Linked DNA regions of Mus musculus. The protein of the gene in region 1 interacts with the protein of each later gene in a biochemical or structural test. Links are inferred from orthologs where the notes say so. Each region holds a gene or a part of one and is shown in the gene's direction. Other genes may lie near its edges.

Evidence for each region.
Region 2: the proteins of Bcl2l1 (region 1) and Hrk interact in a biophysical measurement, tested with the Homo sapiens proteins (3 studies listed by BioGRID and IntAct, with this or other methods). The link is inferred for Mus musculus from reciprocal best matches to the Homo sapiens genes BCL2L1 and HRK.
Region 3: the proteins of Bcl2l1 (region 1) and Bik interact in a test that uses a peptide from one of them, tested with the Homo sapiens proteins (3 studies listed by BioGRID and IntAct, with this or other methods). The link is inferred for Mus musculus from reciprocal best matches to the Homo sapiens genes BCL2L1 and BIK.

What each region holds. Positions count from the first base shown.
Region 1 is NC_000068.7:152,827,918-152,832,110, reverse strand, and holds the start of Bcl2l1 (bcl-2-like protein 1), read left to right. Parts: upstream 1-1,393; 5' UTR 1,394-1,725; exon of another isoform or gene 1,726-1,924; intron 1,925-1,990; exon of another isoform or gene 1,991-2,008; 5' UTR 2,009-2,120; coding exon 2,121-2,684; exon of another isoform or gene 2,685-3,664; intron 3,665-4,193. UniProt on the Homo sapiens protein: Potent inhibitor of cell death. Inhibits activation of caspases. Appears to regulate cell death by blocking the voltage-dependent anion channel (VDAC) by binding to it and preventing the release of the caspase activator, CYC1, from the mitochondrial membrane.
Region 2 is NC_000071.6:118,167,536-118,173,241, forward strand, and holds the start of Hrk (activator of apoptosis harakiri), read left to right. Parts: upstream 1-2,228; 5' UTR 2,229-2,247; coding exon 2,248-2,526; 3' UTR 2,527-2,593; intron 2,594-5,706. UniProt on the Homo sapiens protein: Promotes apoptosis.
Region 3 is NC_000081.6:83,524,360-83,530,672, forward strand, and holds the start of Bik (bcl-2-interacting killer), read left to right. Parts: upstream 1-2,502; 5' UTR 2,503-2,577; intron 2,578-2,757; exon of another isoform or gene 2,758-2,888; coding exon of another isoform or gene 2,889-2,982; intron 2,983-5,981; exon of another isoform or gene 5,982-6,313.

The sequences.
Region 1 (4,193 bases):
CTCCACCCGTAAGGTATAAGTCTTCATAAAAACAGAGACATTGCCTTGCCTTGTGTCTTCAACAAACCAAACTAAGGGCTTTCTATTCTTCAGGCTTTTCAAGTAGTACCTGATACACAGTCAATGAAAGGTCAATATTGCTGTCTATTTTTAAAGTGAGGGGGGAAATACACAAGTTGAGAAACCTGTTCGATGTTGGACACCGACATCGAAAGGAAAAAGCACTTTTTCTGTAGTATACAAAGGGACAGATGGATGAAGGAACTAGATTGAAGGAATGTGAACCATAAACGTTCCACGCGCCTGAGACTCCTCAAATCGCTCGCCAGGGGTCGCTGCTCTCCCATGTCTCGATGCCAGTCCCTTTCTGGCGCGCACTCCTTTTGCGTCTCGGGCTCGCGCGCGCTGCCGCGGCACCGGAAGTGGCTGCGCTTGCAAGTTCCCCCGGTCTCTTCAGGGGAAACTGAGGCCGGCTTCTCCGGGAGATTCAGCACGAGCAGTCAGCCAGGTAGGCAGGCTTAAGTCCGCGGCATACTTCCCAGCCGCAAAACGCCCTAGTGTCTGGAAGCCACTGGGCCTATGAAGGGGGGATGTGGCCCCCCACGGCTCTCTGGGGCTCGCAGGTGAGAGCGCCGCCTCCCCTGTGCCTGACAGGCGCTGGGCCCAATGGGAGCCTTTGCCGTCCCGCTTCCGTGCCGACTCGACCCGCGGATTGGCTAAGCTGGGGCGGGCCGCGGGGGCGAGACCCCTCCTTCCAGAGAGGTCTAGGGGGCGCCCCTGAGGGAGGGCGGTTGCCTAGCAACGGGGCGGTGGCTCGGCGGGTACCCGGCCTAGGGGAGCGCGAGCAGTAAGCGAGGCCTCAGCCCACCCACCCGGGGCTCCGGCGCGGAGCGGCCTCCGGCCCTCGAGCCCTGCAGGGGGCTCCAGAAGGCCGCCTTGGGCTCGGCCTCAGGAAAAACGAGGTCTCCACTGTGGGAGCCCCGACCCTTCTTCCTGGCCGGTGGCGGGGCTCAGTGCCTCTCTCTCACCCCGTCTTTGTGCGTGGGGTGCCGGCGGCCATTGTGTCCGGGCGCGGAATGGAGGACCTGGCCGTCCCCCAGTGCTGTGTCCAGGGCCTTTGGGGAATTCAAAGACAACTAGCGGTGTTTGTGGGGGGTCTCCAGCATACGCCTCTCGGAAAAACCCGGGAGTGGTCTTTCCGAAATCAGATCACAGATCCGAGGCTGTCTTCCCCCTGTCCGCGTCCCTGCGCGAAACCTTGAGATTCACTTGGAAGTCCCTTTAGGGTTTCGGAAGCCTCATCTAGGGCTGGTACTTAAATAGAAAGAAAGAAAGGAGGGGTGGGGGGAAATTACACTAAACCCATACCTCCGGGAGAGTTCTCCTGACTCCCAGTAGGAGGCGGAGAGCCAAGGGGCGTGCTAGAGCGAGGGGGTTGGGCTCCCGGGTGGCTGGAGCCTGCGGAGCAGAGAGAGGCCGCCCTCGATCTGGTCGATGGAGGAACCAGGTTGTGAGGGGGCAGGTTCCTAAGCTTCGCAATTCCTCTGTCGCCTTCTGAGCTGCCTACCAGGTCGCATGATCCCTCCGGCCGGGGCTGGTTTTTTTTTTTTTTTTTTTTTTTTGCTGAGTTACCGGCGACCCAGCCACCACCTCCTCCCCGACCTATGATACAAAAGACCTTCCGGGGGTTGTACCTGCTTGCTGTCGCCGGAGATAGATTTGAATGTAGGTGGTGGTGGTGGGGATATGCCAATGGGGGTGACTTTTGGAGAAAGGCATTTCGGAGAAAAGGGGGTGGGTGGTTGTAGTAAAAAGAGGCGGATGAAACAATTCAAAGCTGGCTGGTCCTTTCAATTTGACTTCATTGAAGTCCCTTAGAACCCGGACTCAGACCTTCATAAGAGCCACAAAGAAAGCAATTCTGGTACCTGGAGGAGGAATGGGAATATTGTAAGGTAAATGACATGCATATTAAATTTTTCTCCTGAAGCTCTCTCTCTCTCTTCAGAACCTTATCTTGGCTTTGGATCCTGGAAGAGAATCGCTAAACACAGAGCAGACCCAGTAAGTGAGCAGGTGTTTTGGACAATGGACTGGTTGAGCCCATCTCTATTATAAAAATGTCTCAGAGCAACCGGGAGCTGGTGGTCGACTTTCTCTCCTACAAGCTTTCCCAGAAAGGATACAGCTGGAGTCAGTTTAGTGATGTCGAAGAGAATAGGACTGAGGCCCCAGAAGAAACTGAAGCAGAGAGGGAGACCCCCAGTGCCATCAATGGCAACCCATCCTGGCACCTGGCGGATAGCCCGGCCGTGAATGGAGCCACTGGCCACAGCAGCAGTTTGGATGCGCGGGAGGTGATTCCCATGGCAGCAGTGAAGCAAGCGCTGAGAGAGGCAGGCGATGAGTTTGAACTGCGGTACCGGAGAGCGTTCAGTGATCTAACATCCCAGCTTCACATAACCCCAGGGACCGCGTATCAGAGCTTTGAGCAGGTAGTGAATGAACTCTTTCGGGATGGAGTAAACTGGGGTCGCATCGTGGCCTTTTTCTCCTTTGGCGGGGCACTGTGCGTGGAAAGCGTAGACAAGGAGATGCAGGTATTGGTGAGTCGGATTGCAAGTTGGATGGCCACCTATCTGAATGACCACCTAGAGCCTTGGATCCAGGAGAACGGCGGCTGGGTAAGAACCACGCCCCTTGTGTGTCCGCCCCTTGCTTGTGTCTCTCTTCTCTGTGAACATCCCTAAAACTGCCCTTTTTGGTCTCTTTCTGTTATATGGCATGGTTGTTAAAGATACCGATTGTTCAGGAGACCTTCCTGGCTTCATTTTAATACAAGAGGTTAACTTTGGAAATATAGATGACCCAATTTTTAAGGGACCTGTATCTTTCATCCTGGCTACCCTTGTGGCCCCACAGTTTCATAGTTTTGTTCCAATTTCTCAGCAAAGAAAAACAGCCTATGTGTTTACTTGGCTTAAAACCTATGAGAGCAGCAAGTTCTCCCCGCGTTCTGCTCACTCTCATGAAATGGGTCACCTTGGCTGGGGTGATGAACATAATACCCAGGAAACTGCAGAACTGGAACCTCAGGCTGCTGTGTACTTGCATGCATGGTACTCAGACCATTTGGCCAGTCAGGAGCCCCCACTGGCTAGAGTGGCTGAGTATTGTCTGATTTTAGAGGAGGGTGGTCTGGGCCAATGGTGTTTGTGCTGTGCTCCTAAGTTCTTTTTCCCCAAAGTGTGCAACTTTCTGCATGGTTGGCTTGTTTGTAGAGCCCTTCCTGTGCCATATCAAGCCCCAGGACTTTGCACCTCGCTGCCCTGGATTGGTTGGGGATCTCCAGCTGCTCTGCCCAGTGTTTTTCTGGTCAGGGCCCTGGGGCCTCTTTACTGAAGCACTGTTTGCTGGCAGAGCAAGAACCTGGTTTGTGAGGCTCCATAGGAAATTAAGATTTGGTGACAGACTGTATGTGGGTGTGAGTCCTGGCCCTGTCACTTAACTGGCCATGTGACCTTGGACAGGCTGGTTTACCTTCTAGAGCCTTAGTTTCTAACAGACTATTGTGACCCAAAGATAAAGAGAGCAGAGGCTGACACAATGAGTGCTTTTTCTTCAGAATCCTGCTCGCCACCTCATCAGTCAGGGTGAGATAGAGGTGAGAGTTCCATTACTAGTAGCTGTCGTGGTAGGCGTTTGTTACCCTTCAGAGTGAACTGCATTCTGGAATAGGGGATATTGCGGCTTCTGAGACGTATTCTGTCTCCTTAGAATATGTAGAAAATGGACAGACTGGAAAATAAGTCATCCATTGAAGGAAGTGAGGTGGAAGGGGCCATGCACCATGGACTCCGGAATGTCAAGAATTTAGTTGTCCATAGGCTGGGCCTAGGGCGGGGCAAGCACTTTGCTTTACTACAGGGTAAGAGACCTCCAGGTTTTCCCTGGGACCCCATCCTGCCTCTAGTTTCCCATTTCTTTGAAACTTCACCTTTCTTCCCTCCAGTAGCTCTTGTAAAGGCAAGGAGGTCACTTGTCAGTAGAGGCCAGATGACCAGAGTAGAGTTGACTGAGGTAAAGGTGGGTTCCCTTGAGCTAAGGGTTGCCAGACTTGAAAGCTAATCTGTAAATGAACTCCCTGGGGAGATAAATGATTAAATAGTTCCTGTTGGTTTGTGCTGTGACCT
Region 2 (5,706 bases), on another chromosome or scaffold:
TGGAGATTAAAAGGGAGGGGGGATTGTTCAATTTAAATCCAAAGGGCTTTTTAAATAGACACTGTATCTTCAATCTTGGACCACTACACTCGGGCAATGGTTCAGCTGCCCCTCTGTTAAGGATGGCTGGGATTAGGGAGGGGGAGTCCCGGGAGATGGGGAAGGAGTTCTGGCCAGAATCAGAGGGGACGGAGGTTTATTTGAGCCCGATGCGTGCCAGGCGCTTGGCACAGGGTTCTTTCATTTAATCTGGGCCCCGGTCCTGGGAGGGAGGTATTATCAGTCTCAGAATACAGAGTCCAGTGTCAAGCCATAGCTAGAGTTTTGTGCCTGCTACTGGGTGCCCTGGTTCAGAGCCAGCCTTTGCTTTGTACTAACCCCTATCTTGGGCAAGAGGCCTCATGGACTTGGGCCTTGGCTTCCTCATGTTGAAAAACAGGACACCGAAAGAGTCTCTGTAGGAGCACAGGCCAGGACCTTGGCAGGCAGCTGGCATGGAAGGTACTCTGTAGTGTGGGTAGTAAGGGCACAGTGACTGCCCACTGGGTGGGGGCGAGGGTCACCAAAAGCACACAGCTGGGCTATGCTGAGCTCTGACAGTCACCTCACCAAGCTTCCAAGGGAGCCCGTAGCCCATTGATGTGGCTGAAAGTCAGTCAAGCTGCAGAGTCCTCCTGTCATTTGGTGGTCAGGAGGATGAGGCAGGAGAGCTTCTGGTTACACCGTAGCAGAGTTTTTGAAACAAAAGGAAAGTCACAATAACATCACAGAACTCCAAAAAGGTGAGTTCATAGTTTCTTATCTTTTGGGTTTTAGTTATTTATTTTGGTTTTTTGAGACAGGGTTTTTCTGTGTAGCCCTGGCTGTCCTGGAACTCACTCTGTAGACCAGGCTGGCCTCGAACTCAGAAATCTGCCTGCCTCTGCCTCCCAAGTGTTGGGATTAAAGGCGTGTACAACCACTGCTCGACTTGTTTTCTGTTTGAATACGTCTGTCTATCTCCTATCTATCTATCTATCTATCTATCTATCTATCTATCTATCTATCTATCTATCTATCTATCTTATGTGCATACACATAGGGTAGTACATATGGAGGTCAGAGGACAATCTGTGGGTATCAGATTTCTGTCTTTGGAACACACGGATTCACAGGACTGAAATTAAGTCATCAGGTTCGGTTGCAAGCACCTTTACCCACAGAGGCATCCCTGACTCTTTGGGGTTTTTAAATAAAGGATTCTCTCTGTAACTGTGGCTGGCCTGAAACCACTATATGGACCAGGTTGTATATGGACCACTTCCCTGCTCCTTCAGGCCCCAATCCCAAAGCTGTCCAAAATCCAGTGGCTTGGACATGGTGGGCGGGTCTCTCTAGCACCCTAAGGAGTCCCAGGAGCCTCCTCACTGGTCGGCACCCTCCCCAGAGGACTTCCCAGGCTGGAGCTGGAGCAAAACTGGATTGGTCTTCCTTTGGGTTAGGTAACCTCACTGGGCACCAAGGCAAAGCCTTACAGGGTCGCCAGCAAACTCTGACCCCGTTTGAAAAGATAAAGCCTACAAAGTAAGCAGGCTGCAAGAACTTCTCTCTAGAACCACGTTCTTGGGTGGGGGGTGGGGGGTGGGGAGATGTCTTGAGTGCAAAGGCGACTCGCCCAAGTTGGAGTCCAACCCATCCCGGGTCCCCCGCCTTCATTTCAGGGTTCAGGCTCCCACCCCGGGGTGCGCTTAAGTCAGGTCACCAGAAGGGGGTGCGAACGCGTGTCAGGAATGTGTGCACCCACCCGGAGGCTGACAGGTGCGGAGGCTGTCCCGAAACAGGGCAAGTCGGCTTGAACCCTGCCTCCCACCACCCAGGCCACACAACAGCCCGGGGATCTTTTCGCATTACGGCCGAATTCTCCCGGAGCTCAATTCACAGTGCGCACCGAGCTGGCTTTCCAGGCTATCTCCGAGCTGGAGCCTCCCGCAGCCCGGGAAGCGAAACAGCGGACCCCGGGCCAGCATTCCCGAAGCCCCGCATCCCTGCCTGTCCCCGCCCTGCCGGCGTCTCGAGGGTTAAAAGTTACCTCTCGGCTTTTTCTCCTGCACACACTCCCCACCCCCCGGGCCGGATGATGTAACCCCCTCCCCGCGCCCTCCCCGCCCCCTCCACCATGTGACACTTTAATTAATAATAGCGCCGTCAGCACAACAAACGCGCGGTGAAGGGCGAAACTTGGGGTCCAGGGAGGCTCCTCCGCACGCCATGTGCCCGTGTCCCCGGCATCGCGGCCGCGGGCCCCCGGCCGTGTGCGGTTGCGGCGACGCTCGCCCCGGGCTGCGCTGGGCGGCGGCGCAGGTGACCGCGCTGCGGCTGCAGGCGCTGGGCGACGAGCTGCACCGACGCGCCATGCGGCGTCGCGCGCGGCCCCGGGACCCGCTGCCCGCGCTGCTGCCCGCGCTCCGCGCCCGCTGGCCCTGGCTGTGCGCGGCCGCGCAGGTGGCGGCGCTGGCGGCCTGGCTGCTCGGCAGGCGGAGCGCGTAGGCGGCGCGCGCGGGGCCTTCTTGGTGGGGGGGACCGGAGCCGAGACCCAGCCCGGACCGAGCAACAGGTACGCGGGCAAGCGGGCGGGAGAGCGACAGCGACAGCGGGAGCCAGGGCTCCTCGGCGAGGAACAGCGGACCCGGTCTCCTACTCTTCGCTTGCCCTCTGTCCCTCTTTATCCAGACCCCGAGTATCTGCTCCGCCTCATCCCCCCTACTCTCTCTCTCTCTCTCTCTCTCTCTCTCTCTCTCTCTCCCTCTCCCTCCCTCTCTTCCCTCATTCTCTCTCCTCCTCCCTCTGTTCCTCTCTCCTTTCTCTCTTCTCTTCCTCCCTTCTCCTTCCCCCTCTCTCTTCTCTCCCTCTCTCTCTTCCTCCCTCCTTCCTCTCTCTCCCTCTCTCCTTCCCTCCTTCATCTCTCTCCTCTCTTCTTTCCCTCCACTCTCCATCTCCACTCTCTCCCCCTCTCTCCTTCCTCTCCCTTTCCTTTCCCTCTCTCTCTCCTCTTTTTCCTTCCCTCCTCCCCTTCTCCTTCCTCTCCCTTTCCTTTCCCTCTCTCTCTCCTCTTTTTCCTTACCTCCTCCCCCTCTCCTCCCGCTCCCCTGTCTCTGTTCTGTCTTCACTCTCCCCCCCCTCCCCACTCCTCTCTCTTCTCCCTCACTCTCATCTCTCTTCAGTGTTTTCACTCTCTTCTTTCTCCAATCCCCTGGCTCACGTTATTCTTCCCCTTGTGTAGCTCTCCTCTGCCTTTCCACTTTCTCCTGTTTTCCCTTTCTCCAGTCTGCTTTCTCTCTCCTCTCCCACTACCCCGTGTCCCCCCTTCCTTCTCCACCTCTCTCTCTCTCCCCCCCTTCTCTCTCTCCTCACTGTCCCCTCTCTCCTTTCTCCCTCTTCTCTCTCCTCCTCCTTCCTCTGCAGCATAGTGGTTTTAGAAGGACGTAAGCCACCACAATCGCTGCCAGCCCCAGTAAACACACGCAGTAGAACTGCACCAGTCCGAGCTAAGAGTCTCCCCTAATTATGCACCACAGGTTCTCGAGTCCCCGGCCCTTTTCAAACCGCCTGGTATTCCAACTTGACCAGGTCTCCATATCTCCACTGCCAACTCCCGTCTCCTCAAGGGTCTGCAGTTTGTGGTGATCCCCATTCTCTATGACCCCCCAACTCCTCCCACCCCCGCTCCCGTGGAAGTTTCTCAGGGGTAGGTCGTGGTCCTCTCTCCAAGGCAGGCGCACATCAAGGTCCCATCTCCTGGGTAACTTTGTTGCTCCTTTTACCACGAGGTGTCGCGGTTTACAGCTTGGCCTCCTATCACCTTCCCCAGCGACGGCGAGAGGTGTGGGCGCCTGCTGTGTGCTCCGGACCGTCCCTGGGTGCTGGGTGCCTAATGTTTGATATCGGGAGGCTATAGGTGGGTCCTTGGTAGGGTGACCTGTGAGCACCCGCTGTGTGCCAGGTACCGGGCTAGGCGGTTTGGGGGAGCAAGAAGTGTCGGTCGGGGTCGCCTTTCTAGATTTCTAGTGCAGAGGCTTCATAAAACGGGGTGGGGTGGGTGGGAACTAGGCTGACTTCCGAGAATGGGTCGGAATGTGAAGATCACAGGTAAGGTAGCCAGAGACCCTGAGATGCTCTGGGCTGATCCCAGCCCTGCCCGACGGGCGCGCAGACACCTTAGGAAGCTGGCGCGGCGCCGCAGGGAGAGGCGGCAGCCGGAGCGTGGGGGGTGGCAGCGCCCGAGGAGCTGCGGGGGTGAGCGGGGTGTGAGCCGGGAGCGCGGGCGACAGATGTCGCGTGGGCCCGCGCAGCCCGGGCGCTGGCGAAGAGAACTGTCGCTTCGGGGCGCCCTGCGGCCCGGCTCCCTGGCTCTGAAGGTCCCTTGCGCGCCTCCTCTCTGTTCTCCCTTTCAAAAGTACCGCTGCTGCGGAATCCCGGGGGGTGGGGCTAATATTTTGAAGGGTGCCACAGCTTTGACTCCCAAAATGTAGACTTTGGGAGGAGAAAGAGGGAGGAAGAGAAGGGAAATTCATACTGGTTATGAATTGGAGAGTGGGGGCGTGGGGGAGAAATGGAGGGTGCAGAAGTGAATGGGGAGGGAAGGAAATCTCTAATAGAAGCGAGGGGTGGGCAGGGATGTTAACTCGGGAGTCTAGGAGCACAGGCGGGATGGCAGAAGTGCTGTTAGTGTCGTTCCACTCAAGACTCCGGGCGAGGGCGAGAGCCTGTATCGGTGTGCATGCATGTCGGGAGTTGGGGTGCTCAGGGAACCCGAAAAAGAGGCTGCGGTCCACGCAGGCCCGGCGCTCCACTCTGAGCTCTGACAAGAAGTTGGGAAACTGGAGCCCCGTGGTACGGTATGGATGTGGTGTGCAAGGGAAACAAGAGATAACTTTCGCTTTAGAATTAACTTTCTATTCTAGCTCCGTTTCCGTCCCAGAGATAGCTCCGTGCTGCGTCCTGACTCCCGCCCCCAACTCCTTCCTGGCTTCTGCTTACAACGTCTCCCCTCCTAGCTGCCACACCCACCAGGGTTCTCACTTCTCTGTGCTCCTGACCCCTGGAAGTGCCGGCGCTTTCCTCTAGATGGTCCCTTGCACCCCTGAAGCCCTTGTCGGGGGTACTCCCTTCATCTGGTAACAAGATGACCACACCCTCATTTTCCAGTCTGCCCTAGTTGGCTAGAGCCAGGAAAGCCGGCCGAGAGGGTAATCGGTTGAGTTCTGTGTACTAGATGTGGGATGCTCTCCCCAGCATTGCGGGGGTGGGGGGTGGGGGAGGGGGGTGGGGGGTGGGGATGGGGATGAGAATGCTCTGGTCTACCTTGGTCTCTGGGAGGGTGTTGGGTTGGGGGATATCTTTTAAGAGCTTAGCTTTAACCAGGGTCAGTGGGCCCAGCAAATTTGTTCTTTGCCCCAGCTGTGAGCCAGTAACATTTGGTCCACAAAGTTACTAATAAAAGAGACAAAAAAGAAATAAAGCCCCAAAGGCTCAGTTCTTCCATACTCAACACGGGGACAATAATATTAGCAATGAGCTTACAGCACAGGTGACTTTAGGAGGGTTGAAGGAACAATTCTTACTGCTTCTGAGGTGGCTGTAAGGGCTGGGGCTCCTGTGTGGCTCCGTGATGGATTATGGCACCAAATTAAATAATAATAATAATAATAATAACAATAACAACAATAA
Region 3 (6,313 bases), on another chromosome or scaffold:
TTTGCCTTGTTTCAGACTTCATGTAAATGTAACCGTGGTGCAAAGGAGAGAGCTCAGCCTGAAAAGCCATTGTTAAATTCAATCCCAGCACCCATGTAGAGACCTGTGTGGCAGTGCTGGCTTGAACCTCTGTGTTGGGGAGTCGGGGACAGTGAGATCCCTGGCATGGCTGGCTAGCTCCATTAGTGACTGGCAGGTCCAGTAGAAGGTATGCACTCCACCAACTAAGCTATACCCCAATCCCCCATTCTTCAAGTTTAAGGCAGGGGGTTTCACTATGTACCCCAGGCTGGCTGAAACTCTCATTCCTCCTGCCTCAGTTTGTAGAATGTGGATTGCCGGTGCCACTGCACCAGACTCTACCAGTATTTGTTAAACAAAGGATCCAAAGACAACTCGAGGCCAAAACTTGGCTTGAAGTCTGTGTCAGCTGGATCATAGACACAAGTGATCTCAGGCACAGAAGGCAGTGGGGTTATGAGGATCCAGAGGTAGCTGTGAGCAGCACCTGTAGATTGAGGCCACTAGAGAAGAAAGGGGCAAGTCCCTGAGTATGGTCCTCTCAGGGAGCAGGGTGCATAGCCTAGTGGCTCAGGGACAGAACACGGGATCTACATGGTGAAGGAGAAAACTGACCTCTGAGGGTTGTCTTCTGACCTTCACACACATAGTCCCCTCTCCAACAGAATGAATGAATAAATGTTTCAAAAGAAGGGAAGAGAAGAGCAAATGTGAGCCCTGGGGACAGAAGGTGGCGGTCCCCATTGTCACCACTTGTATTACTTCTTGCATCTGACCCAATTATGGAGCACTAACAGGAAGGCGCACTCTTATTTAAGTGATTTTGCCCCATTTCCCTTCATTTGTCTCTCTTTCTTTTAATTTATTTTAGACAGGGTCTCTTGTACCCCAGGCTCTCCTGGAACTCACTGGAAAACTGTGTATGTAGCCTTGAACGCCTTGGCCTCCCGGCTTCAACTTCCCAAACCTGAGATGACAGGGGTATCAACACACCCAGTTTTTCTTTGTAATTTGAGACATGGATTCTCAGCCTGGTGGTAGTAGTGGTTGGTGCATGCTTTTAAACCCAGCACTAGGGAGGCTGGGGCTGGCACATCTCTGTGAGTTCCAGAAAAGCCAGGGCTACACAGAGAAGCCCTGTCTTGAAAAAGCAAACGAACAAATAAACAAACCCCTCCAAATAATGAATTCTTGCTATATTGCCCGGAACCTACCCAACTTCCTAGTCTCCCCAGCGGCAGGCCGTTCAGGGATTGAGTCACTGTGCTAGCCTCCCATTTGATCAGCCTGTTGCCTTGGGGATCTTGCAGGCTAAATATTTTCACTCACCCCCTCCCCTGGGCCCCTAAGTCCCCATCTGACCTCAAACTGGCCTCCTTCCTCCACCTTGTCTACTGTTTACAGAACGCATCTGCTGACCGGTCAGGTCTTTCTGGACTGTGAGACCCCTTGTCACTGCCTCTCTTCTCTCAGTCTCAATTTTCTGCAAATTCATCTGCAAAATGTATTGGCAGAGAGGCTTCAAGGTCCCCTGCCCCCAACTCCAGGTTGTGACAATCCCTGATGGCTAATGGCCAAAGATCAGGGTTCAATTTGCTTCTGGGCTTGGAGGTGACAGAAGGACCACAGAACTGGAAAGATCTGAGTGGCAGGATTGGAAGGCCTCTAAGATTAAATTCTGCCGAGGACCTTCTAACATGTGGGGGGAGGGGCTGCCTTCCCGTGTCAGGAGAAGATTTAAGGAACCCCAAATATCACCACCCCTCTCCTGACAGGAGAGGGAAGAGTCCAGCTGACTACTTGACAAAGCACGCAGTAGGAGGCACCTGCCCCAGATTCTGACCTCTGCTATCCCGAGAGGAGCTGACTTGGGATAAACAAGTTTTGTTGTTGTATAGATAGTGGTTACTTTGTAATTCGGCCAGTGCTCCATCTTTACTCACCTCGGAGCCCCTGCTCCAGGGCACTGGAGACTGAACTCCTCCCACTTCACCTGTAATTCTAGATTTCACCTCCTACCGATCCTCTCCTTCACCCTAAGTCTTCGCCAAAAGGAGGGCTGGGAGAGCTCCCTATACACCGGGAGAGAAGAGAGAGGGGAAAGGGGGAGATTTGGAGGTGCAGTGCGGAACTTGTAGCAGGCGGGAGCAAAGGGAAGCCACAGAAGCACCAAGCCTTTAGGAGTACTATGAGGACCAAGTAGACAGCCCTTGCTAAGGTTTGGCCGCGGCGATGGCAGAGGCGGCGTCTGCGGAAAGCACACTCGCAGACGCACTGGCGGGGACACAGTAGCAGGTCTACAGGCGACAGAGGAATGTCTGCAAGCTAACGACTTTAAAACAGGGGTTCTGTAGCTACTTATTGGGACCGGGGATTTGGAGCCCCGGAGGGAGGAGTTAAAGGGGCGGGACGGGGAGGGCGCGGCCACCTATCAGGGTCCAGCCCGCCGCTCACAATAACCCGCCTCCAGCCAGCGCCCCCGACTCCGCCACCGGCGTCCCAGCCGAGAGGGTGTTCGGGCAGTTCGCCCGCCGCTACGCCAGCTCAGCTTGGCAGGTAAGCGTCTTGCAGCCCTAGCCCAAGTTGCTGGAAAGTTGGGGACCCGTGCCCAAATCCCTCGGTGGCCCCGGCTCTGAAACGTCCCCTCTGCGTCTGACACCCCAGAAGGTGCTAGTCTGGTCCGCGTGTCTCGCTGTGCGTCCATGCACTGGGGTGGCCCTTGTGTCCTGGTTCTAGGGCGCGCTGAGCAAGTGGCCTTCGTTGTCGCTGTGCCCTGGTTGTCGAAAACTTAGGGGGAGCAGCTTGAGACCAGGGCGCGGCACTGCCACAGTAGGGCGGCCAGGCTGAGCCCGGGCCGCAGGCGGAAGATGGCGTCGGCACCTGTCTCCGCGAGGACCGGAGAGTTCGCATCTGTCCCTCCCTCGGGGATCCTGGGATTCGCACCGTCCCTGCCGCGACCTGGTAATTCACACCTGTTCCCGACAGAATCCAGCTTCGCATCTGTCCTCTCTGGGACCCGGGGATATAGGTCTTCGAGGGGCAGCAGAAGGGCCTTCTTAGGCGACCTGGGTAGTTCAGACCATCATTTCCCCGAAGCTCCTAGCCACCTGCCTGCGCCCAGGCGCAGGGACTGGGAGTGCATCCGAGGGGCCGGCAAGGTCGCCGGTGTACCAGCCACAACCAGCACTGGGGGTTCAATACTTGTGTCACTTTTCCACCTTGTGGCCTTCAGGATGCGGATGCAGGTTGTTTTATAAACTTAATTGCTGTTCTGAAGTGTACTGAACCACCCCTACAAAGTGTTGTTTATTGTTGTTGGCGTTGATGCAGGTGATAACACTGTTACAGGGGTTTGGAGCCAGCTGCAGCTCTCAAGAAGGCTGGTCTCCTACCTACTTTGGGGGATGGGGGAGTTGTCAGTGAACCTTAATTTTAACCTCAGGGAAGCAGGCCTCATTTCAGATAGGCTTATGTCCCAACAGCTACATAGAGCTGGCTCCTTCAAAGCCTGGAGGGCTTTCTTAGAGGCCACACCAACCTCTCTACCTGTGACCTACTTTCTGTTCTGACTGTGTAGCTTTCTACAGGCTCCTCCACCATTCTGGACCTCAGTTTGTTGAGTTTGTAAACTGCGTTGTGGTTTAGCCTGGTGGGGAGGGACCTTTCCCAAGAAGTGGCTGAGTAGCTCGGCAATGCTACCTTGATTTCCACTAGGTTGGGGCATGTTTACTGTTGCTCCTTTACAAGTATACACCTAAGGGTCACCTGGGGTCCTTGGCTGCTTTTGGATCTAGTGTCCTGCCTAGGGCAGGTGGCACTCGTGACCTCCCAGCCTTGCCCCTCCCCACATCTCTCACTCCACCCTGCCAATTTTCTCCCCTCTATACTCCAGGATTTGAGACTTTCTTTGTTTTGTTTTGAGGCAAAGTTTCATGTAGCCTAGGCTGGCCCCCAGCTCACTATGTAGCTGAGGATGGTCTTGAAACTCCTGATTCTCTTACCTTCACCACCTGAGTTCTAGGATTCCAGGTATAGTTACTGTATCCAGGTTATTTGTAGCTGGGGATGGAACTCACAGCTCTGTGTATACTACCATTGTTTTCTTAAGTAAGGCCTCACTATGTAGCAGAGGCTAGCCTCGCATTCTCAATCCTTCGGTTTGCTTCCCTAGTGCTGACTTTTAGTCTGCTTTCTGTTGCTAATAAGATACAGTGCATTGGGTTGGGTTATAAAGAAGTAAAATTTATTCTGGCTTGTGATTCATGTGGGGTTGAGGGCCATCTTGGGTGACTCCCTTTTGTTGGCAGAAGACATACATTGTACATTTTACCCACCTCTCAAAGGTCCGGCCTCTAAACCCCACAGTGAGGTTGAGTTTCCCCTTTAAATACCTCACAAGGGGATTAAATGTCAACACCCCAATCTTTGGAGACCCCCAGGTCATATCTAACTACAGCGCCTCCCCTTCAAAGTCACAGAGCTGCTGTTTCTCAGTTGTTCCTCCAGAGTTAGGTTTTAAAGGTTGTCTGTGCTTTGCTCTTTTTCTATTTCGGAGACAGGGTCTCACACTTTATAGCCCAGGCTGTCTTTGAACTCTCAATTCTCCTGCCTCTGAGATCCTGGGGTTATGGGTCTTTATTGCTTATTTTTTAACTTTCTTAACTCAAAATGTGCACCTTTGCCAGAGGATGCTGGCTCTCATCCCGAGCTGGAAAACGCAGTGTGTCATTTTTCAACTTGGTGACAGGCTCATTTAACTTATCTTCTAAGCTGAACCCTAGTTAGCATTTTAAAGTTAGCTAGATCTGTTTTGTTTCCAGATCTGGGGATGGGACCCTGGGCTTTGTGTATTTTAAGCAACAGGGGGCCAAGAAGCAAGCAGGCCGCCTGGCTTACTTGGGGCATGGGATGCTGAAGGCTCAGTAAAGGGTCTAGGTAAGAGCCCAACACCACCAGAAGGAAGGAAGAGGATGGGGTCCACCTCCCAGAGGAGCCCAGACAACTCTAGTACTTCCTCCTCAGGCTCAAACATTCCAGAGCATATGAAGAACGTAGAAGCTGAAAGGGGAGGAGGTAGCTTGCTACTCTGGCCTTCTGTGATGGAGCTACTCTCCTGTCACAGTTGATCCTTTTTTGTAGCACTGGGAGGTTTATAAGGGGTCATCGGAGTGATACATCCCTGGCCTTTCATCTTCTGATGTCTTTGCTCAGTTGACATTTCTCTGACAACCCCTCCATGTCCACCCTTCCTGACATCTCACCCATTATTTGTTCTGTCCTATGCCCTTGGCTGTCTGAAATAATCTCATGTATTCGTAGCCTGCATGTTCTGTGAGACAAGGAACATCAAATTTTAGGTTCCTGGTGCCCATCATAGCCTGAACTCTCTCTGGATGGAGGGCTTACCTGCATGCTGGTCACTGTAAGGTGGTTGATATACAGTAATGAAATCACTGCTGGATTCGCTGAGAGCAAAGAAACCAGAGCTTGTGGACTGGAGATGTAGCTCAGTTGGTAGAGCGGCGGGATAACACACACAGATTCCTGGGTTCAGCTCCCAGGACCGCATATGCCAGGGGTGGAGGCCAACACTCGGAAGGAAGCAAAAGTTCAAGGTCATTCATTCTTGGCTGCATATTGAGTTGGAGGCCAATGTAGAAAACAGGAGACCCTGCCTTGAAAGAAAAGTCACAGGGTACATACAGTTTGCCATCTTGTCTTATTATGTTCCTTTCCCACCTCTCTTAGTAGAAGGGCAGGGGTATTTGGAAGGCCATATTGACTAGTGAGTCTTCAAGCTGTCCTGCCACACTGCCACAGACAGAATCCCCCCCACCCCCCGGAAAGCATCCTGTTTTCAGTGAGTTGGTTACATTTGTGGACAATTAATGACCCTTGCTTCCTCTGCGGCTGACTGAGTGAATCCTGCCAGAGAAATCACTGTTTTGCTCTCTGCCTAGAACAATTCGGAAGCTGTTTCAAGGAAGTGCCGAACGATGCCCGGCTTTTGTTGGGAGTGGCCACCAGGAAGCCAGCAGCAGGTCTGGACTGGACATGTGTGGCTGCTTCCTTTCTCCTACCCTTGGTTGGCTGAAGCCAAGCCTCAGAGAAAAGTGTCAGCAAATGCGTCCCGGGCAGGCGGGAGAGGGCAGGGCGCAGGGTGGCATGGAGAGGGCAGCTGATTTACCTAGTGTCAACACTGAGTTGTGACAATACAAAACACCCTCTGGGCACTGCCAAGGAAACCTGTTTTTCAGGAGATGGGAGAAAATGTGGTGCCCAGTTACCCGAC